Tamandua tetradactyla: one gene and its partner. The protein of the gene in region 1 purifies or fractionates together with the protein of each later gene. This does not show direct contact. Links are inferred from orthologs where the notes say so. Each region holds a gene or a part of one and is shown in the gene's direction. Other genes may lie near its edges.

Region 1 (16,004 bases):
AATTATGGTGCTATGCTTGGAAATTTACAGCTTTTTTGTATATATGTTATTGTTTACAAAGAAAGAAGGAAAAAAAGATTGTATTGATAAAAAAAGTATTTAAGCCCCTAGCCTCCTATATTCTGGAACAGCTAGAAGGAAAAATATGAGAGGATAGTATGGTAGCCCATGACAAACTCTGGGATCTATCCTGTAACCACTTTTTGAAGAGTGCTTTCAAAACAACTGCTTTTTTATTCCTTTGCTCTGTATATATGTTATACTATACAATAAAAAAAGTTAAAAAAAATTATTGGCAAAGTCCCTTGAAAGACTGGAGAAAAAATATGGAACTATTAAACTTTACCACCAGGGAAACCCTTGATATTGTCTAAAACATTAGGGACTCCCAAGTCAAGAGGCCAAGCCCTTGATCTTGTTGAGCCTATTTCTGTAGCAGAGAAGCTAAGTCTACCTATAGATATGCCTAAGAGTTACTTCCAAAGAAGCTCTTTTGTTGTTCAGATGTGGCCTCTCTCTCTCTAAGCCAACTCTGCAAGTAAAAATCATTACTCTCCCCGCTCTGTGGATCATGACATCCAGGGGAGAAAGTCTCCCTGGCAATGTGGAATATGACTCCCAGGTTGAGCCTGGAATGCATTCCTGAACAAAATGGGTAAAAGAAATGTAACAAAATAAGGTATCAGTGGCTAAATGAGTTCAAATAGATTCGAGAGGCTATTCTGGAAGCTACTCTTACGCTAGCTTCAGCCAGATATTGCTAATTACCAGAGTGTGCCAAACCCTAACCAAAACCATTCCTGTTAACCCTACAGAACACCTAGGGCTTCAGCTGAGATTCTATAAAAGTTTCACACACTAAGATTACTTGTGAGAAACCTACAGCCTCCAGATGGGTTCTTAGGCCAGATAAGACCTGAAATTCAGAGGGGCCAGCCTCTCTAAGAATATCAACTAGTTCCATCCCCCATTCTGATTATCAACACCCTTTTCCAACATTAAAAAGTTAGAAGGGGCATAGCCCAAATAGCCCTAAAGATTGGGAGAAGGATAAAAGGAGAGGGAGGAGTTATGACAGAGGAGATAGGACTTAACAAATGACTATGACTACTGAATCATCATATTAATATTTCTTTCAGTTTCCAGTATCTTGGAGCAGCGAGACGGAAAAACCTAAAACAGTGGAACTGTATGTAACCCATACCAAACTCTGAAACCTGTTCTATAACTATTTGTTACAATGTACTTTGAAACAAATTGCTTTTTTGTATATATATTTCACAATAAAAAATGTTAAAAAAAAAATGGCAGGGGGAGAGGGCTAACATTCCACCTGGCCTACTACAAAACACTTTATTAGTACCATGTAAGAGCTGTGGAAGTTTTTTGTCAACTATTAAGTGTTAGAAACATGTACATAACTTTTTATTCTATGAAACGCTACAATTCCCTATGAATGACTTATGTAAAATGTTACATAGGTATATAAATTAAAAACAATTTCATACTATTCTTTAATGAATTAACAGACATTAGCTGAAATATTTAGAAAGGACAGGCCTGAAATATTACATATTATCACCTTGGAGGAGATTCATCCTGCTTTTTAAATCCAGGAGGAAGGGCTGGTCCAAAAAACCCATCATCATCATCATCATCCTGATTTCTCCTCTGTTTTCTGAAAACACAATAATGTAACTTGATCCATGCATATACATCAAGGAAATTTTAATAAAGCGAAATTTTAATTTCTAAAGGAAGCATTAACTGCAACTAGTTGGACAAACACTGAAGCAACTCCTTCACAGCACTTGTATTTCAATTTTTCGTGTTTAATGAAATATTGAAGTCTACTGCCAGATGTTTTTGAGCAAAAAGTTGGCAACTGACTTTTAATCACATTTAAGGAAGGGTTCTAAGTTGCTATTCTGTATCATAGTCTTAAAACTGTATCAAAAAAATCCTCACTATCCAATTATAAACAAAGACTCAGCTTCTTATTTACATGGACTCTTGGTGAATAAGGCTAGATAAACATATACTACATATACAATCTTAAAAAATTCTATGGCTTATGTAGAACATTTAGTCATTTCAATATCTTCCAGAAAAATTTCTAGATAACAGATTTATTGAAATTTTAGACATCTCACAGCTAGTATACTACAAGAATAAATTTCTTTGTGAAAGACATAGTTTATGCTAAAATGCCATATGAAATGGCTTCTTCCTCTACTGTATAACTACAGATATGACATCCCCTGACTAGTTATCTGTTCCAGCCAACTTACACTGGATTAGAAACTTGGTTTATCATTTAATTTAAGTAAGTGACTGACCTTGCAGTTGGACCAGTGTCATCTTCTTCAGACTCTTGATTTCCTTCTTCATACAAAGAACTACTGTCCTCATCACTATCTGATGAATCCGAACTACTGCTTTTATAATTAGGGGGCAAAGCAGGTCCTGCAACTAAAGAAAATTTATTGTGTGTGTCAAAACCAACTACAAATGATTCAATGAACCTATTAGATGACATTTTCACTTTCTGAAATTCACTGGACTGGCTATCTACCATCTGTTACAGATTTTAATATCAATTTTTAATGTTTTATGTACACTGGTTTTGCATTTCCAATTATATTCTTGCTTAGGGAAAGCAGAAATCATATCTTAGCATAACTAGGATATTCACAAGAACACTAATACCTGATTTATAAATATAAATATAGCATATAATTTCCCCAGCAACATGCAATTTTTTTCATTGTTTGGTACACTTGCCAAAATAGCTAAATGATTTTTTTCCTTTATAGATAGCATATGGTAGACAAAATTACACTACCAAGCAAACCAGACCAACAAGTTGACTATTTCATACTCTAATATATCAAACATAAAAATATCCATTCTGGTTTCTAATTAAAAAGAAAATCTTTACTGGCATCACCATACCAATCAGTTAGTGTTCTTTCAAGACAATTTAAGCAGAAATAAAGTCAGAATCACTTTTAAGTTTTACTGCTTACTAGTAGAGATGAACAGAAGAGAAAGAGATTGTACTGGGGTGGGTGGGATGTTGGGGACTTTGTTAAAAGTCCCTTAGGCCCACTCACCAAAGTGACCTGCTCTCTTGTTATACCCCAGCAAATTACAAATTATTATATGACGTCACTCCATGATGTTGTCAAGTCATAGAGACACAACTTCTGTGTTGATCCTGAGTAGTAATACTAAAGGTCTACTGCCAGGAGGGCAATGGTGGCTCAGTGGCAGAATTCTTGCCCGCCATGTGGGAGACGCGGGTCTGATTCCTGGAGCCCGTCCATGCCACAAAAAAGTCTATTGCCACATATAGGCCAAACACCTGATCTTGAGGCTTCCTCTTATGAAGTTTATGTATGCAGCAGAGAAGCTTAGCCTACCAGAGGTAGGCCTAAGAGTTACTTCTGGAGGACCTCATCTCTTGCTCAGATGTGGCCTCAATTCTCTCTAAGCCCAATTCTGCAAGTGAAATCATTGCCCTATTCCCTATGTGGGACATGACATCCAGGGGTGAAATTCTTCCTGGCGGCATGGGAGATGACTCTCAGGGATGAGTATGGCCCTGGCTCCATGGCATCAACAAAGCCATCCTGACCAAAAGGGGGAAAAAAGTGTAACAAATAAGGTATTAGAGGGGTGAGAGAGTTCAAATAGAGCCGAGAGACTACTCTGGAGGTCCCTCTTACATAAGCTTCAAGTTTCAGTTAAATATTGCTACCTATCATAATGTGCCATACCCCAACCAAAACCATTCAAGCTAATCCTAATGACTACCTAGGGCAATGTATAAGATTCCATCTCCCTATCCCATATTACTGATAGTCCTTCCAACATGAGAAAGTTAAAATGGCCATAGCCCAAACACCCTTAAAGAGCAGGACAGAAAGATCAAAGATGATGGTGGACTTATAAAGAGAAGATAGGGTTTAACAAAAGAGTATGATTGCTAAATCATTATACTGATATTTCTTTTAGTCTCCAGTATCTTAGAGCAGGTAGAAGTAAAAACCTAAAATTGCAGAATTGTAACCCATACAAAACTCTGAAATGTTGTTGTTCAAAGTGTCGTGCTTTGAAATTCATTGCTTTTTTGTATGTATTTCATTTTTCACAAAAAAGAAAAAAAAAGTCAATTGTGATGATAAAAAAGTATTTATTCCTTTTAACCGCCAATGTTCTGGAGCAGGTAGAAGGAAAAATGTGAGATAATGGTATGGTAGCCCATGACAAACTCTGGAATCTGTCTTATAACTACTTGTTGAAGAGCACTTTGAAAATTATTACTTTTTTCCTTTCTTTGCTTTGTATGTATGTTACTATTGCCAATGTAGATCAAAATGGAATAAGAAATAAAGACCACCATAATGGTGAACTGATAGGTAATTATAAATAAAGTCTTTTGCCATAATTTCCAAGTCTGGATGCTTTTCAAGAACCACTAAAATATATATTTTTTAAAAGATTCCTAAGCCATTTCCCCAGGGATTCTGATTGAGTTGGTCTGAGTCAGAACTGGAAATATGATTTTTTATTTGTTTATTTATTTTTAAAAAAGACTTTATTTATTTTATTTATTTTACATGGGCAGGCACTGGGAATCGAACTTGGGTCTTCTGGCATGGCAGGCATGCATTCTTGCCTGCTGAGCCACCGTGGCCCACCTGAAATATGATTTCTTAAAGAGCTTCTCAGATATGCCATATGTTCAATGATAACTTAATAAATAAAAGGAAAATAACATGTTTTGGGTTCTTATGCATTATATGTGATTTTAAGAAATTCATATGAACTAACCTATTTAATTTGACATTATTAGAGAGGTATTGTATAATAAAGAACTTGGCTGGCCTTTGCACCTGGTTCTTGGGAGATATCCTCTAAATCTCTGGAATTTCCCATGATAGACCATGCCCTATCAGCCTGACCTCAGGGGAGAGGAGAGGGCTGGAGATTACATTCAATCACATGGGCATGGGTTCAATCAATCATGCCTGAATCATGAATCCCAATAAAACCTCTGGATGCTGAAACTTGGACGAGTCTTTCCTGAGTAGTAACACATGTCAGTGTGCTGGAAGAGTGATGCTTCCAGACTCCATGGGGAGAGAAGCATGGGAGCTTTGTATTTGGTGGCACTCCTAGACTCCCCATGTATACCTTCTTTCGGCTGGTCCTGATTTGTATTTCTTTTGCTGTAAAATAAAACTGTAATCTTAAGTATAGCACTTTTCTGAGTTTTGTAAATTAGGGACTCCCAAATTTATAGCCAGTTAGTCAAAAGCGAGAGTGACCCTGGGAACCCCAGAACTTGCAGCTGGTGTCTGACATGAAAGTGGTCTTTTGAGGACTTGAGTGCTCAACTTGTGGAGTCTGGCCTGATTTTCAGGTAATCAGTCAGAGTTTCACAGCAGCTGGTATCAGAAGTTACCGTGAGAGGTGTTACTGTTATTTCTATTTTACAGACAGGTAACTGAAGCACAGGAAGGCTAAATAATTTGTCTGACTTCACACAACTAAAGAGAGGAGCCAGGATATGAATATAGGAGTCAAGAGCCTATACCCTTAACCACTATACTATCCAACATTCAAGAATTGTCATCCATCCATCCAACAAATACTTTACTGGGTAAATACTTCTAGAGAAACAAACATAAAAAGACATATTAGCGCAGATGGTTAAAGTGCTGTTATGCAAACAGGAAAATAGGGAAAAAGTGAGTGGATATTTAGGAGGGTAATTTTACATGGAGATTTGAGGGCAAGTCTGTTGGAGGTGAAGGCTGTTGGTGGGCATGCACCAAGCTGAAGGGAAAGCATCCAGATGGGAGCAGCTTTTGAAAAGTCCTACAAAAAGGGAATAAGCTAGATGTGCTCGAGGCCAAAAAGTCCAGTGTGGTTAACAAAATGACAGAAGAAGAAGGTGGATGGTACGAAGGGGAACAGAGCATGCTTTCATGTCAGACACTCTGGATTAGAATTTCAGCTTGGCCACTTACTAGCTGGGTTAACTGGTTAAGTTGCTTAACCTTTCTGAGATACTCTTTCTTCTGTTAAAACAAGTTAGCAGTATTTCCAAATTTCAGAGGACTCTTGTGAGGAATGCATTAGTTAATATATGTAATACACTTAGCACAGGATAAAGCACACAGTAAGGAGGTTCTAAGTTGGGAGAGACTTGACCTGAATTTGCGGATAAGAGGGGTTTGGAGGTGGGGGGAGGTGAGTTAGAAAAAAAAAAGGCTTATAAAAAATGTTATATTTGCAACATACTTTGAAGGAAAAGCAAAAAGGACCTGATAATGGTTTGGATCTGAGGGCAAAAAGAGGAAGTGAGATGGCTCAGGGTTTGGGCTCCACTGGCTAGCCAGGTGGGTGGTCATGCCATTCTCTAATATGGGGAAGACTAGAGAAGAGAGGATGGGGGAAAAAGTCAAGAGCTTTGTTTTTCACATTTTAAATTTATGATACCCATTAAAAATTTCAGTGGTCCTGTCAGTGGTACTTTAGGGAGCAAATCCTGCCTGAGATTAATACAGGGAATATAGGGGGTGCACGAGTAGATCAATCATAGAATAGCTGCCTGTCATACAAACCTGGGTTTGATTCCTGGACCATGCATTTCCCCGCCCCACACACAAGAAAAATAAAAAAAATTCCCTATGATACATATATCACATCTCTGCCTCAGGGTATATGTTTAGATGTAGAGATACATAAATGTAGGGAGACACATAAAAAAAAGTAGGGAATATAGTGAATCAGAAACAACATGCATATAAGAACCCAATCAGATAATTTGTTTCCACACTCTTCTCCAACCTTCTTTGCTAAAATAAAACATGACTTTTAGTGGCTATAACAAAAATGAGATCTGGAAGGAAAACCTTTAGGTAGAAACATGGCTGTGTGGCAGTCAAGCAACAAAAATTAGATCCAGAAATGAGAGACCTACTCTTTCTGCATTATTTTTCTCTAACTATAGCGTCGGTCCTAGTCTATAGCTAAAACAATAAAGGAGATAGATACGCGTGGAGGAGTCTGAGAAGCATTTATTTGGTAAACAAAATGTTGGCTATGTGTTAAGGCTAGAAGGCCATAGTGCAGTGGGGGAGACAAATAATTTAAATACACTGCATTAAATATATGATTTAATTAAATAGGGGAAAAAAAACCCTGTGGGGAAAGATGAAGGTGTGACAAAGCATGGGATAGTTCGGAATGACTTCAACTGGATATTTAAATTTGGATCTTAAAGGATGGATAGGAGTTTGTCAGGTGTGTTAAGATATGCCAACAGAGAGAGGTCAGAGGGACCCTAGAATATTAATAACTGTACAGAAATTTGGTCTGGTTTGAGCACTGTGTGCCAGACGCAATGACAGAATGAGAAGTTAAGGAAGCAGGTGTAGAGCCAGAGAACAAAGGATTTTCTGTGAAGGTCTTGTACGTCAGAAAACAATACCGCACAGAAGTTAGGAGTACGGGTTCTACTGTTCTAATTCGGCCTCCACCACATGCACGCTGTGATCTGGGCACCTATCTCGGCCTCGGTTTCCAGTTTATGATATGGGAATAGTAATAGTCTTCACCTCCTATAATTTCTGGGAGGATTAAATGACTGTGAGTCAACCGTTTAGCCCAGCGTCCGGCTCATATTAGCGCTAAATTAGAACACATCAACATCATAATGATAACCCAACGAAAGCTCGCGCAACGCTACGGGTTTTCTGAGGATACCCCACCGCCACCTACTTGCTACTACAGCTTAGGAGGGAAAATTACAGCTGCGGTCGGGCCGCGCCCACTCCCGGGTCCTCCGCCCTCCCGGGGGTCTCCTTACTACTGGGTCGGACCAGCAAGGGGGCACGCCTCCGCCTACCCGGGCTCGGGTCCCGCTCCTCGTCTTCGGCTGTCCCGCGGGCATTGAAGCCAGGAGGCAGCGCCGGCCCGATCATGTCCCTGGCCATCTGAGGTGGTCGACACTACTCACGCACAAATATATTCTATTCGCGCAGCTGCAAATCTATCCGAAAAATGCCCAGCGGAGCGCTGCGAAAGCTTTAAGTTTTTCCGGCGCTGACCAATGACATAGCGGCCTGTGATTGGCTACATTGGGCAATTCGCGCTAACGGAAGTGACGGCTAAAGGTTGTGCCAAAGTCATAGGTTAGGTTCCCGACCTGATGGACGGCGTGGCTGAGCCGGCTGGTGGAGTTTTGACTCCTCCGGGGAGTTTTCCGCCTCCCCAGCTGAACCCCGCGTTGGGGTCGCTGAACAACGCTGCCCCACGGCGGGACAACTGGGTGCTCTGGGCAATGCTGCAGCCGCCGCCGCCCCCGTCTTCGTCCTTGACTTCCACGGTCGGGTTAGAGCCTTCCTCGGATTCGCACCCGCACCTCGCGGCCCACGCTCTCCCCGGGGTGCCGCCCCCCTTCGACACTCAACTTCTTCCCGGAGCTCAGCCCCCCTTCGATGCCCAGTCTCCTCTTGATTCTCAGTCTCGACCCAACGTCCAGCCTTCCTGGAATTTCCAGGCATCGACATCATGGTACTGGAGACAGTCTCCTGAAACGTTTCCTCAGCATCAGAAGTCCCACAACCTTCACGGTAGGCTGTTTTTCCTCACAGTATCACCCCTTTACCTATCACCGGCCCCCTTTCTTTTTCCCTTCCATTTCTGCTTTCCTTCGCTTTCTGCACTTCTGATTCTGCCCTGCACTCTTGGAATCTGGTCGTTAATGTCTCACAGTATGTCCTGCTGGAATATTTTCTCCTTCTGTCCATTCGTTTTAGAAGTTATTTATTGAATTTCAACTAAGTACCGGGAACTGGGAATATAGCAGTGAACAAAACATGCAGAAATCTTTTTCTTTATGGAGCTTAACATCTTAGGGTGGACAGACAATGAACAAAGCATATTGTGTATTTGAACGCAATGAGTGTGATATAGAGAGATAAAAATGATAGTGCAGTTTTAAATACAGTGGTGGGGGGATGGTCTCATAAGAAAGGTGGGATTTGAGCAAAGACTTCAAAGAGGTGAGCGACCAAAATTATGGCTCTATGGGGGGAAGGGATATAGGTAGAGAAAACTACATGTGCAAAGGCCTTGAGGCAAGATATACAGAAAAGAGTGGAGTCCTTGGTGGTTAGAGAGAAGTGGGCCTAGTGTAGAGTAGTAGAAGAGGACAGACTTTGTAGTTTGCCTTGTAGACCATTGATGGAACTTTCATTTGACTTTTACAGTGGGTAGCCGTTGACCCGTTTTGTTCAGGGAAGAGATATGTGCTGATTCAAATTCTAAAACGATCAGTCTGGCTAGAGTAATGTAATTGAAAGGGCAGTCAGTTAGGAGGCTGTTGCAGTTATCCAAGGGAGAGATTTGGGGGACGTGGGCTAGGGTGGAGCTGGATGATGAGAGGTAGATGGATTCTAGATATATTTTGAAGATAAGGCCAGTATGAATGCTGAGGGTTTGGATGTGGAATGTGAAATGAGGAGATGAAGGTAACTTAAGTTTTTTCCCGACAAAGAGCTGAAATTGAGATGGGGAAGACTGAATGGAATGTATTTGAAAGGGAAGAACAAGAGTTGGGTTTGGATATGTACATTCAAGTAGAGTTATTGAATAGCTGCTAGCTATGAGACTGTACTTTCAGGAGAGATGCATGGCTGGAGCTGTTAAGTTGCCATCATTAGCATGTATATAGAAGATATTTAATGCCATCAGCTTGTTCACATAAAACCATTCTCCAGAATTTCTCCAATTGCACGAAATTCAATTTAGGTTAAATTAAATCTAAACACTCAGTGAGTACTGTGTGTCAGTTGGGGAAATATATGTGTGGCTAAGACCGTCCTAAATTGGGTGAGATAGGTTCATATATATGTATAAATTACAATATAAGTATGACTGGTGATAGATGCGTATAAAAGGTGATTCATAATGCAGAAGAAGCAGCTTTTGGAAGAAGTTTCTTAAGGAGGTGTAGGATTGGGGGGAAAAGTGCTTTCTAGGTAATGACAGAGAGATGTCAGTACAAGGGTTCTGGAGGAAGGTTATAGAGGCAAAGCAAGCTGAAAAAATAAACTGGAATCTCATCAGAACACTCCAGAAAGCCATTTGTAGATTTTTGAGAGGGTAGTGTCATGATTGGAGTGTATTTTTGGTGTCATTGTATGGGATCAGTTGGAGAGGAGAGAACTTAGGAACTGAAAGACAATCTGGGAGAATATTACAGTAATCTATATGCAAGATCAGGGTTTCAGAGTTGGATAATGGCAGTAAGAATGGAAAGCAGCAATAGGATGTGAGAGAAGATGTACAAGGTTTCATTATCCTTGTGTTAGAGTGATGTTGGCAGTGCTGTATCAGATTTTACTGTTTAAGTTTCTGATATTCAGAATAACTGAAAGGAATTTCATTAGGTTATTGTCCATTTCTATACCTAAAACATCTATGGACCTGTTATCTCACCAGTATTTTTTCTTTTGAAAATATTTATTTCGTAGACTCGTTTTAATGTTTATGAATTTGTTTGATGTTCAACTACTATTCTTAGAAGGGCTAATTTAGCAGCTAATTTTACTCAAGTATATGCAACGTGCTGTAGCAAATAAAACTTTAAATAATTGTGTATTTGCAAACATTGATCTCTTTTTGTTTTTTAGCTAAACGTTCATATTATCCAAGAAAACATGATGCAAACTTCACTGATTTCAACTTCCCTCCTAATAGAAAACAGAAAAAAAAGGTATTTTGGGGATGTTCTTGAATGTCCCTATGTCACTTTTTCATATCTTGCATTTCTGTCATAACCATCTCCGTGTTTTGTGTCCCTTATTGACACTGTTTCTTTAAAGATGATGTCTGAAAGTAGAAGCTTCAAACAAAGTTTTTTTGAGAAATAAGTGGAAAAATTGTAGAGAAAGGATTAATGGAAAGAATTGAATCCATTTTGATATAGAATCAAAAGTAAAAATAACTGAGAATTATAATTATAGAACAGTATGAATCTTATTAAACCTTGATAAAATAGAAAATAATGTTAGCAGAAGAGGAGGGACTTGAAGGAGAAGTACTTTAGAAGTACAGATTTCTAAAAATAAAATTATATAAAATTGAAAGCATGGGACTAAGAACAAAGGAGGCTTTTTTAGGAATCCATATTTCTGTGTTAAGAAAACAATTCCTTAAGTTTCCTTTTCTTGTATTTATATAAGATTAAACAGTGTTGTAAATTTAAAACAGTTTATATATAATCATCATCTCTGCTTAATATCTGCAATGATTGAGAGTACCAGGTTTTTTGTGTCATTTTTATCTTATTTTTTATCTGTTGTTTACCTAAATTCATTGTAAAGCTTCAGTGTTTTTCATTTATGGCTGTTTGTCATTTTTTAAATGAGGAAAAAGAAAATCAACTCTTTTATACTTTAGAAACCAAGTCTTAAGATTGGTTTTCTTTATTCTGAAATAGCTTGCAAATCTGGTTTTTAAATTTTAAGGTGAATAAATAATGCCATTTGTTTAGAATATGTTGAACACTGTCTACAACCTGAAATGAATAGCCTTCATTTTGGCATGAAAGCTGTGTAATTAACATTAACAAAATGTTCTGCAAGTACAGTGTGTTTGTTCACATAAGTCCGACATTCAACAATTGGAGACCATTTCCTACATAGTCTGTCTTTGTAATAATCTTTTTTCTTTTTTATGTTCAAGCATAAAAATAGCAAATTGGAAAATCAAAAACAACTAACCTTTACCTAAATGATCCATTTCTCCTCTTTCTTTTTTTTTTTTAAAGCATCATGTAATTATTTTTTCTAAGAGTCAAAGTATGGTTTACCCTGAGTATTTATTTTTAGATCATTTTGACATGTACTATACTAAGTCTTCATTAGATTACCAATTTGGAATCTACTTACAAAGTTTGTATTAGCTTTACTCTCATTTAAAGTTTTTCCTGTCTGATCTTTCCCTAATACTTTTGCTAAAAAGAAAAGAAAAAGAAACATTAGAAATACGTTCAGAAAATTTTCCCACATATGAGGATGAAAAGTCAAAATGTTTATTAGTAGAACATAGTTTTATTTTTGTTATTCATAGATTTTTCTTTAAGTTTAATGTCTCTTTTTTTGTTGTTTGCAGAAAAGAAAGGAACCAGTTTTTCTCTATTTTTGTGATACCTGTGATCGTGGCTTTAAAAATCAAGAAAAGTATGATAAACACATGTCTGAACATACAAAGGTATGTTTTCTTTTTCTTGGTTGCTCTCAAATTCATTTAGTAAAATTGCTGTCTATCTATATGTTTAGTAGAATTTCTGACGTTTTCTCCCTTGAAAGCTTATGGTTTTCATAGAAATATTGTTTAATAACTTGACGAATTTGGACAGTGACCCTCGGCTTTGCAGCTTAAAAGTTAGGTATCCTCTCCTTTAGAAAGAAGTGCAGTGGCAGTAAAGAACAAGGGCAGTCTGGCAGCTGTTTGCATGTATGTGCCTCTACTTCTTTGTAAGAGGGCTGGGCCTTCCCTCCAGGTACCTGGGGCATTTCTATGAATTCTTTCCCTTTTAAGACTGCCCTTGACTATTTAACCATATACCAGCGTATAATTTTCCATGGTCTAGCAGCCTGTATGTATGGTCCCAACCTTATTAATCACTTTTATTTTGTTTTTGTTTTCGCATAGGCAGGCACCAGGAATCGAACCCGTGTCTCCGGCATGGCAGGCGAGAATTCTGCCTGCTGAGTCACTATCGCACTGCCCTTTTTTTGTTTGTTTGCTTGCTTGCATGGGCAGGCACTGGGAATCGAACCTGGGTCATTAAGTATTTTTTAAAAAAAATTTGAACCAGAATATTGGACAATTAAAAAGTTAAAAAGCCATTGTTTGGAGAGGTTTTTCAGCTTATAGAAATGCCTTTCAACTTTAGCAGTGAAGTACATTTTGCAACATTGCTGATGTCAAGCTTTCACTCGAAGAAATAAATGCTAAATATTACGTATTATATACTTTGAGAAAGTTATCCCTTTCTAAATGCAGCTCTGTTTTGGAGTCATCTTTGTTTTGGTGTTGACATAAATATGAAGTGATGACACCACATAGATGGGATAAGTTTATAAGTATGGCCAAAATACATCTGTATGTGAAGTAGTAGGGTAAATTTAATGTGAAGAATATTTAAGTCTTTTTTTTTTTTTAACTCTTCTAGTGTCCTGAAGTAGATTGTTCTTTTAGTGCACATGAGAAGATTGTCCAATTCCATTGGAGAAATGTAAGTTTGTGTGTTTGTGGTTTTTTTTTTTTTTTTTGTATGCTGTCTGGTGGGGTCACATTTCATTATTCTTCCATGTGAATATTCTGTTATTACAGCACCATTTGTTGAATTTTTTTGCTTGATTTTGTTTGTTTGTTTTTGGGAAAGTGCATGGACCAGGAATTGAACCTGGGTCTTCCACATAGCAGATACCCTGTACCCTCTACCGTATCTTTTTGCATAGGCAGGCTCCAGGAATCGAACTTGGGTCTCTGGCAACCTACCCTGTCTTTTTGATACATGCTCTTTTTATTTCATTGATCTATTAATTTCTCAACTCTTCATTTTTATAGCCTAATAGAAGGTAACATCTGTGGAGTACTTTTCACTTTTTAAGGCATTTTTACATCACTTATTCAGCTTCATCTTCACAAATAGCTGTGTGTGGAGTAGATAAATATTACTTCCATTTAACAGATTAAAAAAAAACTTGTCTAATGCCTCAAAATTGATCCTTGAGTCTGATTTTCTTGACACCAGTCTGTGCTCATTTTACAGCACTGTGCTGTTGCTGATAATCATGCGTACTCATTATTTCTATAGCTGCCTCCCTCAGTTTTGGTTGTAGGTCACTCATTTGTCAATTGAAAAAATGAGTGATGCTGGCAGGTTACTTTGTAACCAAAATTATTTTATTCCTTTTTTTCTGTTAAGTAGTGCTAATCTAACTACATGAGAAAATTCTTTAAGGGAAAAGTCATAGTAATAATGGATAAAATTATCTTACTTTGCTTTAAAATTGTCTCTGCAACTGAATGCCGTTTTGGGTCCAAGGTCTCCATTATCTTCCATAATACTCATAATACTCACAAGTATACTCTGTGCTTCCTGATGTTCAGCCGGCTTTTTCTCCTAGACGCATGCTCCTGGTATGAAGAAGATCAAGGTGGATACTCCAGAGGAGATTGCAAAATGGAGGGAAGAAAGAAGAAAGTGAGTAAAAATTAAGAACTAGTGAAATAACTTTCTTTAACTGTTGGAAGTCTCAATATTTCAAACTTAAAAAAATTAAAAAACTTTCCAACTTATGGGAAGTTTCAAAAATAACATACACCCCCTACAGAAAACTCCACTATATCCCTATGTCCCAGATACCCAGACCCATCAGTTTTAACATTTTGCCACATTTTGCTGTCATTCTAGGTATCCATCAGTTTATCAGTCCATCTGATTTTCTGTCTTTCTCTCTGTCTGCCTGCCTGTTTATCAATGATTATATGAACACTTGCGCATAGGTTGTATACATCGTGCTCCTTGAACACTTAATACTGCCACATATATTTGCTAAGAACAAGGAAATTCACTGCCATATCCACCTTAAGTGCAATTATCAAGTTTCAGAAATTTAACGTTGATATAAAGCTTACAGTCTCTGTTCCAGTTTTTTCATTTGTCCCAATAATGTCCCTCTGAGCCTTTTGCCTTGTTCGATCCCATCCAGGATCATGTATTGCCTTTAGTTGTTATTGTCTCTTTAGTTGCTCTTTCTTTTTTATTCTTAATTGTGGGAACATATATACAACATAAAATTTCCCATCTCAACCACTTCAAGCATACCATTTAGTGGGATTAATGACATTCACTATGTTGTGGTACCCTCATCACCTTCTATCACTAAAATGTTCCTATCTCTCCAAACAAACCCTACACCCATTTTTGAATTAACTTCCCACACTCATTGGCTCCTGCCACGGGCAGACTGTCCTTAATTTCTGTCTGGGCTTGCAGTTTCTCCAGTATTTTCTTTATAGTTACCATGGAGCTAAATTTAACATCCTAAATCTGTAATAAACTAATTTGTGTTGATAACAAGTTCACTTCAATAGTATTCACAAATTATGTTCCCGTACCTCTTCATTCCCCAACCTTTTTGTAGTTCTTGCCACAAATTACATGAGTCCAAAACCACTCATTTATCATTTTGCCTTTTAGATCATATAGGACATAAAAAATAGAGTTACAAATGAAAAATAGAATATTACTGGCAGTTATATTTACCCCTGTCGTAACCCTTGTTGGAGATCTTTATTACTAGTGGCTTTGATGTTTTGTTTGTGGTCCTTTCATTTAAATGTACAGAACTCCCTTTAGCATCTTGTATAGGGTCAGCTTACTGCTGATGGACTCCCTCATTTGTTAATTTGGAATGTGTTATTTTCTCCCTCATTTTTTTTCTTTCTTCTTCTTCTTTTTTTTTAATTGACAATGCTTCACACACTTACAGTCCAGATATGGTGTATAGTCAGTGGCTTACAGTGTCATCACATAATTGTGTATTCATCACCATTATCATTTTAGAACGTTTGCATCACTCCAGAAAAAGAAATATAAAGGAAAAAGAAAAAACTTATATATCCCTTCCTTTTCCTCTCATTGACCACTAGTATTGCAATCTGCCCAATTATTTTACCTCTTATACCCCTATTGTTTATTTTTATCCATTTTTTTACTCATATGTCCATCACCTCGCAATCTAATAATGCATTATATTTGCATTACCTTCTTATGCTAATAATTTATTGCTATGAACATCACTGAAATAATATGCAAAGCATGTGTAAAATTTATACTACTCTGCAGTTCAACGTATGTTAAACTAAAACTATACGACAAGTAAAATATTGTCAGTAATCAA
Region 2 (16,190 bases), on another chromosome or scaffold:
ATAGATACCTTGTATGTTTCTAAGTATTTGTCCATTTCATCTAGGTTATCTAATTTATTGGCATACAATTGTCAAAATATACTTTTAGAGTCCTTTTTATTTTTTAGTTAGCAAGCAGCCAGAATGTGATATACCAGAATTGGAATGGCTTTTTAAAAGAGGAAATTTAATAAGTTACAAATTAACAGTTTTAAGAAAGTGAAAGTGTCCAAATTAAGACACCAGCAAGAAGTTACCTTCACTCAAGAAAGGCTGATGCATCAGAAACACCTCTGTCAGCTGGGTAGTCAAGTGGCTGGTATCTGCTGGTACCTTGCTCCTGGGCTCCATTGCTTTTGGCCTCTGTTCCTGTAGGGGTTCCTCACTTTGCTGCTCTGGGGCTGGCTTTCATCTCTTGGCTTCCCATGACTCTCTTCAGGTTCTGGTTTGCCTAACATCTCATGGTGATATCTGCTGGGCTCCAAGCATCTCCAAACATCCATGTCTCTGTTCTGTGAAGCAACCATCCTCTGAGCATCTACATCTGTTCTCTCTGTCAGGTCTGAGGCTTCTGTCATTTTTGTCATTTCTTACTCTCTCCAAAATTTTTCTCTTTTGAAGGATTCCAGTAAATTAATCAAGACCCACCTGGAGTGGGTGAAGTCACATCTCCATCTAATCAAAAGTTCACACCCACCATTGGGCATGCCAAATTTCCATGAATGTAATCTAGTCAGAAGTTTCCATCCTACAGTATTGAATTGGGATTAAAAGAAACATCTACTCCCACAAGATTGGATCAGGATTAAAACATGGCTTTTCAAACTGGCACAGTGAGAGTGGTAGTAATGTCCCCATTTTCACTTCTTAATGTTTGTTATTTGTCTCCTTTCTTTTTTTTTTCTTTGTCAGTCTAGCTAAAGGTTTGTTAATTTTATTTTATGATTCTTTCAAAGAATCAAGTTTCAAATTTGTTGATTCTCTCTATTGTTTTTTTTTTGCGTTGTTGTCTATTTCATTAATCTCCACTTTTAAAAAAATGTATTTTTCATTAATCTCCACTCTAAAAAAAATGTATTTTTACAGTTATTGACACTTGTTTTGCGACCCAACATGTGGTCTATCCAGGAGAATGATCAATGTACACTCAAGAAGTATTCTGTTTTCACTGGGTGTGGTGTTCCATATATGTCTGTTAGGTCTAGTCGCTTTAGTGTATCACTCAAGTCTTGTACTTCCTTCTTGACCTTCTGATTGAGAGTGGTGTGTTAAATCTCCTACTATTATTGTGGAACCATCAATTTATCCCTTCAAATGTGCCATTTTTTGCTTCATATATTTGGAAATTTCCTCATAGGTGCGTATATATTTATAATTGTTACATCTTCTTGTTGAATTTTCCCCTTTATCTGTATATAACTATCTTAATCCCTTGTAACTGTTTTGACTTAAAGCCTATTTGATCCAATGTTAGTATGGCTACCCCAGCTCTCTTTTGGTTACTGCTTGGTATATATTTTTCCATCTTTCACCCTCAACCTACTTGCTTTTTTGAATTTCCAGTGAGTATCTTGCAGACAGTATATAGTTCATGCTTTTCTTTTTTTTAGCTTTTTTATTGTATAATATAACATATATACAAAACAAAGACAGAAAAAAGCAATAGTTTTCAAAGCACTCTTCAACAAGTAGTTACAGGACAGATCCCAGAGTTTCTCATGGGCTACTAAACCATCATCTTGCATTTTTCCTTCTACTGCTCCAGAACATTGCTTTTTGATCCATTCTGCCAATCTCCACCTTTTGACTGCAGGATTTAATCCATTTACTTTGAAAGTCACTACTGATAAACAGGACTTTCTTCTGCCATTTGTAGACTCTGTAAGTCTTTTTTTTACCTTTCTGTCCTTCATTTCTGTTAATGCCTACTTTTATATTTATTTGCTTTTTGGGGTTGCACCATCTTGTGACTTCCCACTTCTATCTGGATATATTTTTCATCTATTTTCCTTGTGGTTACCATGGGGCTAAAATTCAACATCCAAATATATAGCTATCATATTTGGTTTGAAACCAAGTTAACTCAATAGCATGTACCTATACTTTTCCTATACCACTCAACGCCCACAATTTTTTTGTGCTTGTTACCATTTATCTCTTTTTACAATGCATGTCCAGAAACATAGATTTATCATTATTTTTTTATGCATTTGAATTTTAGTACCTGTAGAAAATAAGAAGTGTGGTTACACACCAAAAACTACAATATAACATTTGTAATTACCCAAATGGTTACCTTAATCACACATCTTTATTTCTTTATGCTGTTTTAAACCATTGTCTAGTATACTTCTTTTCAGTCTGAAGAACTCCCTTTAGCATTGCTTGTAGGACCAATCTAGTGGTGACTAACTCCCTCAAATTTTGTTTTACTGAGAATGTCTTACTCCCTCCCCCATTTTTAAAAGTGAATCTCACCAGATTCTTGGCTAACAGTAGTTTTCTTTCAGTACTTTAAGTATTCTAACCCTCTGCCTTCTTGCTTCCATGGTTTCTGATGAGAAATTGGCACTCAATCTAATTGCAACTCCCTTGTATGGAACATGCTGCTTTTCTCTTGCAGCTTTCAGAACTCTCTCCATGTCCTTTGCATTCAATACTGTAATCTATATTTGACAGGTGTTTTATTCTTTATATTTATTCTGTTTGGTTTTCTCTGAGTTTCTGAGATGTTCATATCTTTTGCTAAGTTTGGGACAGTCACTGTCATTATTTCTTTGACTATTTCTTTTGCCCCTTTGTCTCTTTCTTCTCCATTGGGACACCCATAATGTGCATATTGATGTGTTTGATGGTGTTCCATAGCTGTCTTAGGTTATTTTCACTTTTAATATTTCTTTTTCCTTTCTGCTTCTCAGCCTAACTCATTTCAAGTGCCTAATCTTCAAGTTTGCTTATTCTTTCTTCTGTCATGTCCAGCTCTTGAAATCCTCCTAGGCATTTTTTCTTTTCAGTTATTTTGGTCTTCAACACCAGTAGTCTTGTTTGGTACCTTTTTAAAATTTCTAGCTCTTATGGACCATAGCTTCAAACTTCAACCTCTGTGTGAGACCAAAGGGAGAGATGTTTATTTGGTGCAAAATTTATATTTTGGATAGCACATTATCTCATTTAACTTGTATGGTCAGTTTACTTGAACACCATAATTACATGGAATCTTGAATATAGCGTGAAATCTTGTTGGTTTGTACAGGTTAGTATGACGACCCAATATATCCCAGAGTGATTAGGGCAGAGAATTAAAAAGTTTTTGCAAAGTCCCCTTGGGGAACTGGGGAGAAAAGAAAAATATTCAACTTCCCCATCTGGGGAATTCCTGATATTCTCACAAGCAGTGGGGATAATCAGTCCAATAGGCTGAGCCCTCAATCTTGGGGCTTGCCCCTATGAAGCTTATTCCTGCAAAGGAGAAGATAAGCCTACTATAATTATGCCTAAGAGTTACCCCCAGAGAACTTCTTTTGTTGCTCAGATTTGGGCTTTCTCTCTCTAAGCCAATTTAGCAGGTGAACTCACTGCCCTCTCCACTACATGGGACCTGACTCCCAGGGATGACCCGGAACCCAGCATCATGGGAATGAGAAAGCCATCTTGACCGAAAGGGGCAAGAGAGAAATGAGACAAAATCAAGTCTTAGTGGCTGAGAGATTACACAGTCGAGAGGTCATCCTGGAGGTTATTCTTATGCATTATAAAGATATCCCTTTTTAGTTTATGGTGTATTGGAGTTACTAGAGGTAAGTACCTGAAATTGTTGAACTGTGTTCCAGTAGCCTTGATTCGTGAAGAACACTGCATAACTGTATAGCTTTTACAATGTGATTGTGTGATAGTGAAAACCTGTGTATGATGCTACTTTTATCCAGGGTATGGACAGATAAGTGAAAAAAAAAGGATAAAAATAAATAGATAATAGGGGGAGATAAAGGGTAAAAATTGGGTCGATTGAAATACTGTGGGTCAATGAGAGGGAGGGGTAAGTGTTATGGGATGTATGAGAGTTCTTTTTTGTCTTATTTCTTTTTCTGGAGTGATGCAAATGTTCTAAAAATGATCATTGTGAAGAATACACAACTATGTGATGATATTGTGAGCCAGTGATTGTATAATATGGTTGGACTGTATGTGGTGGCTATTTCTCAATAAAAATATATATTTTTAATTTCTATCTCCTTATTTAGACTTTTACATTGCTCATTCATTATTTTTCTCATATTCTTTAGTTCTCTCTCTGTACTTTCCTCCATCTCCTTGAGCATTTTTAAGATCATTTTAAAAGTCTTTGTTCAGTATGTCCATATTCTTACCTTCTTATCTGTATTCTTATCATCTTCCTTTGGATGGGCTATTTCACATTTCTTTGTTTCTCTTCTACTATTTTGTGGCATAAGTATATTTTAGTATTTTTAAATGTTATCTCTGGGATATATTCCCTGGGATATCTGTTTCTTGGTTTTTTAACAAGCTGATAATAAGGCAGAGATCTTCTTGAGCTTCAGCCCTCCTATCAGGAAGGTCTACTGAAGGCAAATGTAGTGTACAGGAGTTTCCCTGTCTTTCTAGACCTCTGTCTTGTCTTGGATTTTTGCTTGTTATTCATTTTGGAGTTCCCCTGTTTATGGGTGTTGGGTTTTTCCCATTGTTTCCCAAGAAACAGACCTCCCTCTCCCAGGTGTTTGAAATTAATATCCCTTTGTTCCAGACTGTCTTCCTCTATAGTTTTTTGTTTTTGTTTACATTTCTTTCATTGTCACACACTGTTTTTGCCTGGAGGACAAATTCTGGGAGGAGGTTCTCCCCCGAGAGGACTTTCCCAAGTCAAGTCTTTCCCAGCCAAAAAAAAGGGCCAGGGATCCCTGAAGGGGGCCCAGACCTGCTCCAAAATGCCCTGGGGAGGGGATCAGGAAGGATGTCAAAACTTCTCCAATGGGTCCCCAAATCTGAGCTTTCCTGGCCTGCCCAACAAATGCAGCCCTTCAGCTAATTGCCCCTGCAGCCCTGAGGAACTTCTGCATCTTTAAATCTTCACACCCTCCACCCTATCCAGGGAGAGTTGAAACAGTGGCTGCTCTCACAGCCAGGCCCCAGTGATCCAAATTTACTGTGATTAGTGAATTAAAAGCTGTGATCAGTGACTGGCCCTGCTCACCCCTGTTCTAGAAAGAGAATCTTACCATATTCTTACCTTCTTATCTGTATTCTTATCATCTTCCTTTGGATGGGCTATTTCACATTTCTTTGTTTCTCTTCTACTATTTTGTGGCATAAGTATATTTTAGTATTTTTAAATGTTATCTCTGGGTGGAGACATGTCGTCCCTTAATCCAGTTTAACAACCACTCTTGACTAAATCACATATTCCAGGGAGATGATCTCATTACAGTTTCAAACATACAGTATTGAATAGAGATTATTCTACCTTTATGAAATGGGATTTATATTAAAACATGGCTTTTCTTAGGGGGCATACTTCCTTTCAAACCAGCACAGCCCCACATGATTTCTTCCTTACTTTTTCTGTCCCACCTATTGCCCCCCTTGCAGGCAATGCCCTTGTTCTACATTCCAACACCCTAAAATCCCCTCTTCCAGCACCACTCAGGCCTCCCCCTTCCTTCAAAACTGCCATTCAACTATACCACCAGTAACTCCACACCTCCATAATAGTATCATCATTGCAATTACCATTCCCAACAGTGATGATTGTTTAATTTAGATAAGGGCTTAGCTGTGATCCTATCAATGATCCTTAATGGTTTCATGATTTCCCTTCCACTAACTGTGAAATAAAACAAACAAAAAACTGATTACAAGAACAAATGTGAGGTAATGACAGAAATTCCAAAATCTTAGAAAGTCCTTATGCTTCTGGCCTCTGACCTATATCTCTAGATTTTAAATGGAAATTCAGATAGTTTTATTCTTTTGAGGATCAACACACCCTTGGGTTGCTCTCATCTCCCACCCTTGGTGTTTAGCAAGTATGAATGATTCTTCCATTTAGCCCCTTTTACATCTTTACATAAAGATGTAAACCAGCCTGAAGATCCTGTGAAGTTTCTTTAATTCCATGGGCTACTGGCACTGTTGAATACCTTCAAAAGATACTGTCCATATGCTCTCACTGGCAGCTTCCTCCTCACAACCCATGAGATTTTACTAAAATTGCTCCAAACTTCCTTCAACTCTCCTTCCAGCCCCACTCAATTGGTGATGCCCCAACTATGGTTCCAAAATTCTCTCATTCTGTCCACCAATTCAAGATTGCCATTTCCTGACCAGTTGTGGATGGCTTAGTGCTTAAGTAACAGGGTCTGAAGGTGTAGCACAAAGCAGTTTACAGCTAAGAAGCCACTACTTTGAAGTCACCTCATACAGCCAGGAAAATACATACTTCACATACATGCTTTGAAAAATAAGTGAAATCATGGCTTTGAAAGTGCCTAATGCCAAATATGTAGTAAAAGAAAACAAATAGTACCCTGAAACAGATGCAAAGGAAGGTTCTGTGTGATTGTTGATTTATGTTTCGTTTTTAGATCTTTTACTTCTGATGATTGAACTTTTAGTCCCAGTCTTTAAACAGGACTTTTTATTTATAAATATACAATCCTTCTCTTAGGAAATTCCGCAGAATGCTGGAAATGGGGAATGGGCTGATGTGGGCTGTTACTGACAAACAATTGAAAGAACAACAGTTGGTCCTCTTTCCTACCTGAACTCCATCAGAATCCCCCAAAATAAACACCCACCGTACATAGAGTTTGTGACATCAAGAAATTTGTAATATGATTGTGAGAGAAAAGTAGCCTCAGGTGATTCTTTTATTTTCTCACGAGATTAGATTTAATCGGTAACAGATTAGGGTGGCTTTCTGCACTACAGGATTTAATTACAGGGTTTCCAGTCCTTTACCTCCTGACCGGCTCCGGGTTCCCTCTTTGAGAGGCGCGGGGCGGAGGGACGCCGACACTGGGGCCAAGGCCGCCTCTCCAGGGGCAACGCGTCGCGAGGCCCCGCCCCGGGAAGCGAGCGCTCAGTGGGCGTGGCCTCACGCCGATAATCGCAGAAAAAACCGGACAAGATCGCTCCAGAGTCGTAAAGAGCTCCACGAGTCGTGAAGTTGCGACGCGCAGGAGCGTTGCCTTACGGCAATTTAAGGTGACCGCGCGGAGCCGGTGTACACGGTTTACGGCCAGACACGTGGGTAGCCTAGGCATTCCAGGCGGGAGTTCACCCCTCTCGGCGTGGGAGCAGCTGCCTGGTGGGGACACAGAGGCAGCGGAGGTCAAGGACCGTAAGGTGATGGCGTTTGCTGCTGAAAATGAAGGGACGTCGGGAGGAGATAGCGAGAGTGGCACTGAGGGGGCGCGGCTAAGACCCGAGTTGTGTGGACAGGGAATCCCGGATTTGGGAGGGTTGGTGGAGGCCGGCCTTGCAAAGGAGGGGAATGGACAGAGAGGACTGAAGACCGAGGATGAAGAGGAGGAAAGTGGACAGAGAGCAGAGGAAATGCGAATAGAGCTGAAGGTTGTGAAGCAAGAAGTTATGGACTGGTCGGAACTAGAAGGCATGTTGGATGGACAGTGGGTGAAGCAGGAGGTGGAGAAAGGGCCTGAAGTGAAGGATGAGAAAGCAAGCATGTTGGAAGTGAAACAGGAGATGGATGGTAGTTTGGTGGTGAAAACAGAGAAAATGGAAGAACCAGAGGTAAAGGAAGAGAAAGTGGCAGTGAAGGAAGAGATAAGGGACTGGCCAGAAGTGAAGGAAGAGAGGGAGGATAAATTGGACGTAAAAGAGGAGATTTTCGTTAACCAGAACATAAAAAAGGAGGAGGTTATGGATGAAGTGCATGTGAAAGAAGAGAAAAATGTCCCGAAGCAGGAAGTGATGGAAGAAACAAAGGTGAAAGAAGAGTCTCAAATGAAGGCTCCAATGGGCTGCAAACGTAAGCTGGCCATGTCAAGGTAAGATGAGGAGAAATCAAATCAGGGGAATAAAGTGGAATATTCTGTTGTCTAGAGTAAAGGAAACTACGCTCTGCTGGCAGAGCAGTAATGAAAACTAGTGCCAGTTTGTGTCCGTGGAGCCTGAGGTGGTGGGGTGTTGGAGGCCATGTGTTGTCAGGAAACAAGTTCAGTGAGAATATGTGAAGTTGGTAGTAAATTCACTTGTTAAGAATAGACAGAAATGCATTTGAACTCAATTGTCAACTTTCTGAATGGGTCCTATGAATTTGTTTTCTTAAATTTTACTTTCTTTGCATTGTATGGTCATGTGACAGAAAATAAAAGAGTGGTCGTATTCCTGGGACTATTACTGGCTGGGACACAGAGGGTCAAATAGAAGTAGCTGTGGTTTGGTTATCAATACCGGGAGATCCTAGAATAGCAGTTGAAAATAGTTGATGGTTAATAACGTTTCTAGATTATTTTGAGTGGAGTGAAGAAAAGATGTAACTGCCACTCTCCAAATTTGACTTGGTCTTCTAATTATATTGTTTGGCTGGTATGTATGCTTCCAAAATATCTATACATAGCTCATGGATTGAATTTCTGGATACAAGCATTCAGATACATTTTTAGATTGCTAGGAATTACTAATTAACGTATCAGTGAATCTTGCTCTGCATATACTAGAAAAAGAGGACAAAAGTAAGGTGATACTTTTTAATTTAATATATGTTTTCTTGAGATATACCATCAGTTACATTGTAAATGTAGTTGTCATTTGGAGATAGTTTCATAGAGGAGAGTATTCAAATGTTGCTTGACATTTGTAAGTATTTTATCAGTTACTTTTGCATGTACTTTGTTCACTATGACTACATGTTGGTAAATTGACTTGATAAAAATCGATTTGCGTTCAGAGATTACAAATATATAAGTACAATTAATAATTGGTATTTTAATAAGTTATATATGGGCTTTTGTAGGTGTGAAACTTGTGGTATAGAAGAAGCAAAGTACAGATGTCCACGTTGTATGCGATTTTCCTGCAGGTATATATGTATTTTCCTATCTTTTTACCTCTGTCTCTATCCTGGTTACTTCAGAGTATAAAAGTTCTTCCTGTTTGTCTCTCCAGTTTGCCCTGTGTAAAGAAACACAAAGCAGAACTGATATGTAATGGAGTTCGAGATAAAACTGCATTTGTTTCAATACAACAGTTTACTGAAATGAATCTTCTAAGTGGTAAGCCATTTTATGCATAGCAGATTGATGCTTCTGGTCATTGGTTTATGTCATTTGTTCATTTTTCTGTTTCATAATTTTTAGATTATCGATTTTTGGAAGATGTGGCAAGAACAGCAGACCATATTTCCAGAGACACTTTCTTGAAAAGACCAATAAGAAATAAACATGTAAGGATTTCCTCTAATCCGTCCCAGTTGCAGTTCCTTCCAACAAATAGGTTACTTGTTTCACCCAACAGATATATTAAGTGGCTGTCACAGCCCAGCGCTATCCTAGTTACTAGGACCATAAGAGTAGCGCAAACAAAGACTTTCCTCTTAGAGAGCTTGCATTGTAGTGGGGGAGACAGAAGAGATGAGTAGAGGAGCAAATATAATTTCAAACAAAGTTAAGTGCATACAGAAAATAAGGGACTGAAAATGTTGTGGAGGGAGCTACTTATGTATTATGTATTCAAAAAACAGTACTACAGTAGACAGTGATGGCTCAGTGGCAGAATTTTCGCCTGCCAAACTGGATACTCGGATTCACTTCCTGGTTCCTGCCCATGTTAAAAAAAAAAGAAGTTACAGTGGAATCGCTAGTAGGGTTTTGGGCATGTCTGATTTTTGAAAGGTCATTCTTGTTGCTTTGTAGATAATGGACTTTATAGGGGAAGATAGGAAGCAGGGAAAACCGTTAGACTATTGTAATCCAGGTGAGAAATATGGTGGTTTGGGTGAATTATTGAAATGTCTATTCAAGTCTTTTGCCCATTTTTTAAATTGGGTTTGTCTTGTGTTGTTTAGTTTTAGGAGCTCTTTATGTATTCTGGATGGTAAACCCTTATCAGATACATGATTTCCAAATATTTTCTCCCATTCTGTAGATTATTTTTTCACTTTCTTGATGATGTCCTTTGATGCACAAATGTTTTTAATTTTGAAGAAGTCCAGTTTATAGTTTTTTTCCTAATTGTTTATGTTTTTGTGTCATATTTAAGAATCCATTGCCCAATCCTAGGTCATGAAGATTTTTCTCTTATGTTTTCTACTAAGAATTTTATGGCTTTAGCTCTTGTATTTAGCTCCTTGATCCATTTTGAGTTAATTTTTGTATATAATGTGAGAAGGTAGGTGTATACCTTCATTCTTTTACATGTGGAAACCCAGTTTTCTCAGCAACAAGTTGTTGAAGAGACTATTCTTTACCCATGAAATAGGGTTGGCACTCCTGTCCAAAATCAATCAGCCATATGAAAAGATGCCCAGCATCATTAGCCATTAGTGAAATGCAGAAAAATATCACAGTGTGATACTAATTCACATCCATTAAAATAGCAACTGTTACAAAAAAGGAAAACTACAAATGTTGGAGAGAATGTGGAGAAATAGAAACACTCATTCATTGTTTGGTGGGAATGTAAAATGGTGCACCTACTGTGGAAGACAGTTTAGCAGTTCCTCAGGAAGCTAAGTATAGAATTACTATATGACCTAGCAATCCCACTTCTAGGTATATATCCAAAAGAATTAAAAACGTGCTCAGACAATATGCACACTGATCTTCATGGTAGCCTTCACAATTGCCAAAAATGGGAACAACCCAAGTGTCCATAAATGAATGAAGGCATTAAAAAATGTCATATGTACGTACAGTGGGATAATATTCATCCATAAAATTGAATGAGATTCTCATACATTCAACAGCATGAATGGATCTTGAAAACATCACATTGAGTGAAATAAGCCAGACACAAAGGACAAATAGTGTATGAACTCATTGATCTGAAGTAATTTGAATAAGAAAATTCATAGAGTCAGATGCTATAATATAGGTTACCAGGGGCTGTGGTGGGGTACAGAATGAGGAATTAATGCTTAATTTGTGCAGTTTCTATTTAGAGTGATGGAAAAGTTTTGGTAGTGGAAGGTGATGATGGTAATACAACACTGTGAACAATAGCACTGAATTATATATTTGAATGTGGTTAAAGGGGAAATTTTATTTTGTGTATATGTTGCTAGAATAAAAATTTACAAAACATGATAGAACTGCACAACGCAATGAACCCTAATCTAAACCATGGACCATACTTAATAGTACAATTATAATAATATTCTTTCATCAGTTGTAACAAATGTACCACAAGTGCACCTTTAGTCTTTTGCATGTGGAAATCCAGTTTTTTAGCGCCATTTGTTGAAGAGACTGTTCTTTACCTATTAAGTGGACTTGTGCAAAGTTTTAATAATTAGGGGAAGGGTGAGGATAATATGATATTTCTGTATTTTCTTTATTATTTTTCTCTTGGAAATTAAGAAACACATATCTAAATTAACCATGTATCAAAGTCACTGTTTCAAAACTTGTACAATCCAAGCCAAGCAATACTTTGTGAGAAATTTATATTCTTAAAAGTAGTGCATATTAGAAAAGAAATAAAGATCAATGAGTTATAAACCAATCAATTATCTTAAATTGGAAAAAAAACACCAACATTCACTCAAAGTAGAAGGAATGGTATATATAATAAAAGTCAAGAGGATACATTGACAAAAATAGAAAAGAAACACATAATAGCAACTGATCAGGCACTTCACAAAACAGGAAAACCAAATGGCCAATAAAATATATGAAAGATGCTCAGTCTCATTAGAAATCAGAGAATTGCAAATTAAAACCCATAGCTAATGTCATACTCGGTAAAAGAACATAAACATCTGTAGTTGAATTTCAGTTATCCTGTCTATCTGTAACCTTTAACTGAATCATTAAGTTCATTTACATTTTAATGAATTACTTATATATTAGGTTTAAATTTGTCACCTTATTGTAATATTTGTCCCATTTGTTTGGTTTCTTTTTTTTCTTGTCATCTTTGGGACGATTTCTTGCTGTAATTTGAAGTTTTCTCTCTATAGTCCTTGTTTCTTTCCTTTCAGTGGTTAGGTTAGCTATGCATGCTTAGTTATTGGTGTCTAAAGTTAACCAGTGCCTTAACGCTTTTCCCAGATAATGTAGAGACCTCAGAACAGTGGTTGGCAGACTTTCTGTGAAGGGTTAGATAATAAATGTTTGACTTTTTAAGCCATATCATATCTGTCACAACTCCTCAACTCTGCCAGTATAACAAGAAAGCAACCATAGCCAATGCATGCACAAATGGATGGGCGATGTGCCAATAAAACTTTTTTTACAAAATTGGCAGGTGAGATTTGGCCCACGGCCCTGGTTTGCCAGCCTTAGTACACTTCACATTCTAATCACTCCCTTCTGACTTGGCTTATTGTCAGATATTTAAATTATCTCTTTTTCCTCATGTAATAATTATTGATTACCAGTCAATGTTTATTAGATTTATCTTTATATTTCCCAACTTCTTTGCTTCTTACTCTTTCTATTATCATCTCAGACCCTCTGAGAGAATACTTTCTGCCTGAAATACATCCTTTAGAATAGCCTTTAGGGAGGCGCTGCTAATTGCCAACTCAGATTTTTTCTACTAGTATGTGTTTATCTAAAAATAATTTTATTTCATCCTTATTGAATAATTTTTCTCTAATTATAGAATTATAATTAGACTATAATTAACTATAATTAAGAATTATTAATCATTGTTCTATTGTCTTCTGCCTTCCATTGTTGTTGTAAGATCTAATCGCAGTCACCTGTTATTTTAATTCTGCCTTTGAAATCTTTTTTTTCCTAGCTGCATTCTTCCTAGCTATTTCTTCTTAGCTAATTTCATTCTTTACCATGATACAAAAGTGCAGATATCTTTTTTGTTTATCTTGCTTAAGATTTTTTAGGCTTCTCAAATCTGTGAAGTATCTTTCATCAGTTCTGGGATATTATCACTTTTTATTTTAAAATATTACTTCTGCCCCTTTCTACTTCTGAAACTATTAAATGTGACTTAGGTCTTATCTTCCCTGCAACTTATCTATCCTTTCACCTGTTTTCTGATTTTTTTCACTTTTTAAAAAAAAATTCCTTGTAATTTAAGAATTTTTTTTAGATAAATAGGCCTTCTTTTATACATGATTTTTATTTTTCCAGGCACCTGGGAACATAGCAAATCCAGATCTACCTTAAACCAAATTAACAATTTAAGAATTCTTTGACCACATAAAGTAAGGCAAGTAATTGCAAATCGCAAATCTGAGCAAGGGCTGGCCCAGGCTACTTCTCAGGGTTGTTTTGTTTTTCCCCTTTTGTGCTCAATCCAACACAATTTTCCCAGCATCCTCTAAGGATAGGGTTTATTTCTGGTTCACCTTTATCCTGAGTATGTATTATTCTGGGACCCAGTTTAATGTGAAAAATTCCCATCAAATTACTTGATCTTAACTTCCTGTTTGCTTATCAAGAAGGTTATTGAAAAGGGAAGCCCATATTTGCCAAAATTAGCAATAGTGGCTTCATTGTTCTCCTTACCTCTCAAAAGTTTCACTTTCTGTTAAATATTGGCTGATATTTCCTAGCTATTTTGTCAGTTCCTCAGTGCTTTTCAAGTGATTGTGTGTATCTGTGTTTAAATTTTTATTGTGGTAACATAAAAACATAAAATTTCCCATTTTAACTACTTTCAAATATATAGTTCAGTGGTATTCCATGTACATTGTTGGCTATCATCATTTTAAGATGTCTTAATATATATTTATATGTGTATTTCCTCCATTGTCTGTCATTCTTAGATATTTTCATTGGGGAAAGGGTATGTTCATGTAATTGCTATTACTGAAATCAGAGCCCCATAATTACTTTTTTGTTGTTTTTCTTTTAAATTTACTTTTTATTAGATAAATTATGGGTTTACAGAGCAGTCATGTAGGAAATACAGTTCTCATATATCCTTATTCACATACACAGTTTTCCCTGTTATCAACACTTTGCATTAGTGTGGTATTTTTGTTATAGTTGATGAAATAATATTATAATTATACTATTAACTGTAGTCCATTAAGGGTTCACTGTGTTGTACAGTCCAATGGGTTTTTAAAAAATTTTTATTATAATATAAATGTATACAACCTCAAAGTTCCCCTTTTAACCTCACTCAAATATTTAATTCGGTGGCATTAATTACATTTGCAGTGTTTTGCTGTCATCACCACTATCCATTACCAAAACTTTCCATTACCCCAAAGAGCAGCTCTATACTAATTGAGCAGATTAAAATTAAAGTAAAATGTAATTTCTTAAGAATTATTTTCCTACTTAGCCTGGATATCTGGTTCTTCTCTTCATTGACTTATGACTTGTCTAACTCTTTGCACTTTAAATCATACGTTCCCGTTCCTCTAACCAAAAACTTAGATTTATACTTTTATTTTTCTTCGAGCAATTCTGCCTTGAGTTAACTGAAAACTCATGATCTTTAATTCATTCATGACTGTGGAGTTCTTAACTCAGCTTAACCAACCCAGGTGATCATTGGAGTGGCACATGTCAGAGGCAAAGCATTTTCACACCTCAGTTTTGTACTACCCACAACAGTACTTACTTTGAGTAAGGCCTTGTTCTAGTTAGTGCCATCGTTCCTTCTGGGTGAGCTAGCTACCTAATAATAGAGTCAGACCCATATATAGCTAATTATTGTATAAAGCAGTCAGAAAAAGGAAAATAAAGAACTATATAGGTAGTCCCTATAATTGCCAAATAATTGGTTATTTTTTTATTTTGTTTTGTCTAAATCCCTCATGAAATCTTTTGATGGTTTAAAGCACAGGCTGTAGAATTAGATCTGGGTTTGAATATCTCTCAGAAATAACTATAATTTTAGAATCTCATTAATTCTCATCGCCAAATGGAGGTGATAATAGTACTTAGTATTGTGAGGATTAAATGAGGTATTACTGCTTAGCGCAGTTTGTAATACACGATAAACACCCAGTATATCTTAAACTATTATGTTACTGAACGTTGAATCTTTGAAGTTTAAGGCATTTTAAACCTATGTCTGTTTGGTTTTGGTTGGTAGATGTACTTTATGAAAAATCGTGCCCGGAGGCAAGGTATTGATTTAAAACTTCTACCCAATGGATTCACCAAGAGGAAAGAGAATTCAACATTTTTTGATAAGAAGTAAGTTTCTCACTTCATTGTTGGCATGTCATGTGTTCTGGTTTGATCAGGAACATCCTTTAAGGTTTGGTTTGCTCTAGAGCATTGCTGCCCAGAGTGTGGTCTGTCAGTTATTACTACTCCAAGATAACTGCACAAATAGAGTAAGCATTTAGAACCTTTTAAACATTTTGACAGTAAATTTGTCATGTGAATCTAATAAAAAAAATGGGATTTGTATATGTGTATATTTTCTTAATTTCCTTTGAAACATTTCACAAACTTTAATGGGCTTATGAATCACCCTGGAATCTTGTTCAATATGCAGATTGTGATTTATAGGCCAACATCAGAATTTGATATTGTGTATTTCTAATAAGCTCCCTAGGGATGCTGAGGATTTGAAAAGCATGTCTTGAATAGCAGTTCTAGAAAATTCTCATACATTAGAAATAAACTATGTTGCTCTGAGACTTAAGATACCATGGTAGTTTTTCATGGGCTTCAGGAACAAAGCAGTGAGACAAAGCAGGTCCTCTGCACTGCTTTAACCAGAGGAAGTCTGGTTTTATTATCCTTTCTGTATTGGGATTCCTAGATTTCATTTAAAAGCAGGCAGTGGAAAGGAAAGGAACTTTAAAACATTTACTTTAGTGGTGAATCTATAAGTACAGATAGCACAAGGGAGATCAGTTTGCTCCTTTCTGAAAGTGTTGGGTCCCCAATTTTTGGATAATACCTTTCTGAAGCCAAGATTCTGGATCGAGAGCCAGAAAACCTAGCGAGTCCCTCCCTCTTCAATCTCTTAGTAACTTGAGCAAGGTCTCATTAGATTGGGCTAGGTAAACTCTAAGGTTCTTATCCACTTTGGCTATTCTATAAGTTGGAAGGATAAAACCATCAAAA

What was found.
Region 2: the proteins of NUFIP1 (region 1) and ZNHIT6 purify together in Homo sapiens (affinity purification with western blotting; 3 studies listed by BioGRID and IntAct, with this or other methods). This does not show direct contact. The link is inferred for Tamandua tetradactyla from reciprocal best matches to the Homo sapiens genes NUFIP1 and ZNHIT6.

The regions. Positions count from the first base shown.
Region 1 is NC_135330.1:113,887,968-113,903,971, forward strand, and holds the start of NUFIP1 (FMR1-interacting protein NUFIP1), read left to right. Parts: upstream 1-7,546; 5' UTR 7,547-7,924; coding exon of another isoform or gene 7,925-8,012; 5' UTR 8,013-8,227; coding exon 8,228-8,651; intron 8,652-10,715; coding exon 10,716-10,798; intron 10,799-12,198; coding exon 12,199-12,297; intron 12,298-13,264; coding exon 13,265-13,327; intron 13,328-14,225; coding exon 14,226-14,302; intron 14,303-16,004. Other genes in the region: GPALPP1 (GPALPP motifs-containing protein 1), read right to left, coding at 1,583-1,678, 2,340-2,472, 7,925-8,012. UniProt on the Homo sapiens protein: Binds RNA.
Region 2 is NC_135337.1:39,272,423-39,288,612, forward strand, and holds the start of ZNHIT6 (box C/D snoRNA protein 1), read left to right. Parts: upstream 1-7,206; 5' UTR 7,207-7,344; coding exon 7,345-8,006; intron 8,007-8,974; coding exon 8,975-9,040; intron 9,041-9,126; coding exon 9,127-9,233; intron 9,234-9,317; coding exon 9,318-9,403; intron 9,404-15,201; coding exon 15,202-15,305; intron 15,306-16,190. UniProt on the Homo sapiens protein: Required for box C/D snoRNAs accumulation involved in snoRNA processing, snoRNA transport to the nucleolus and ribosome biogenesis.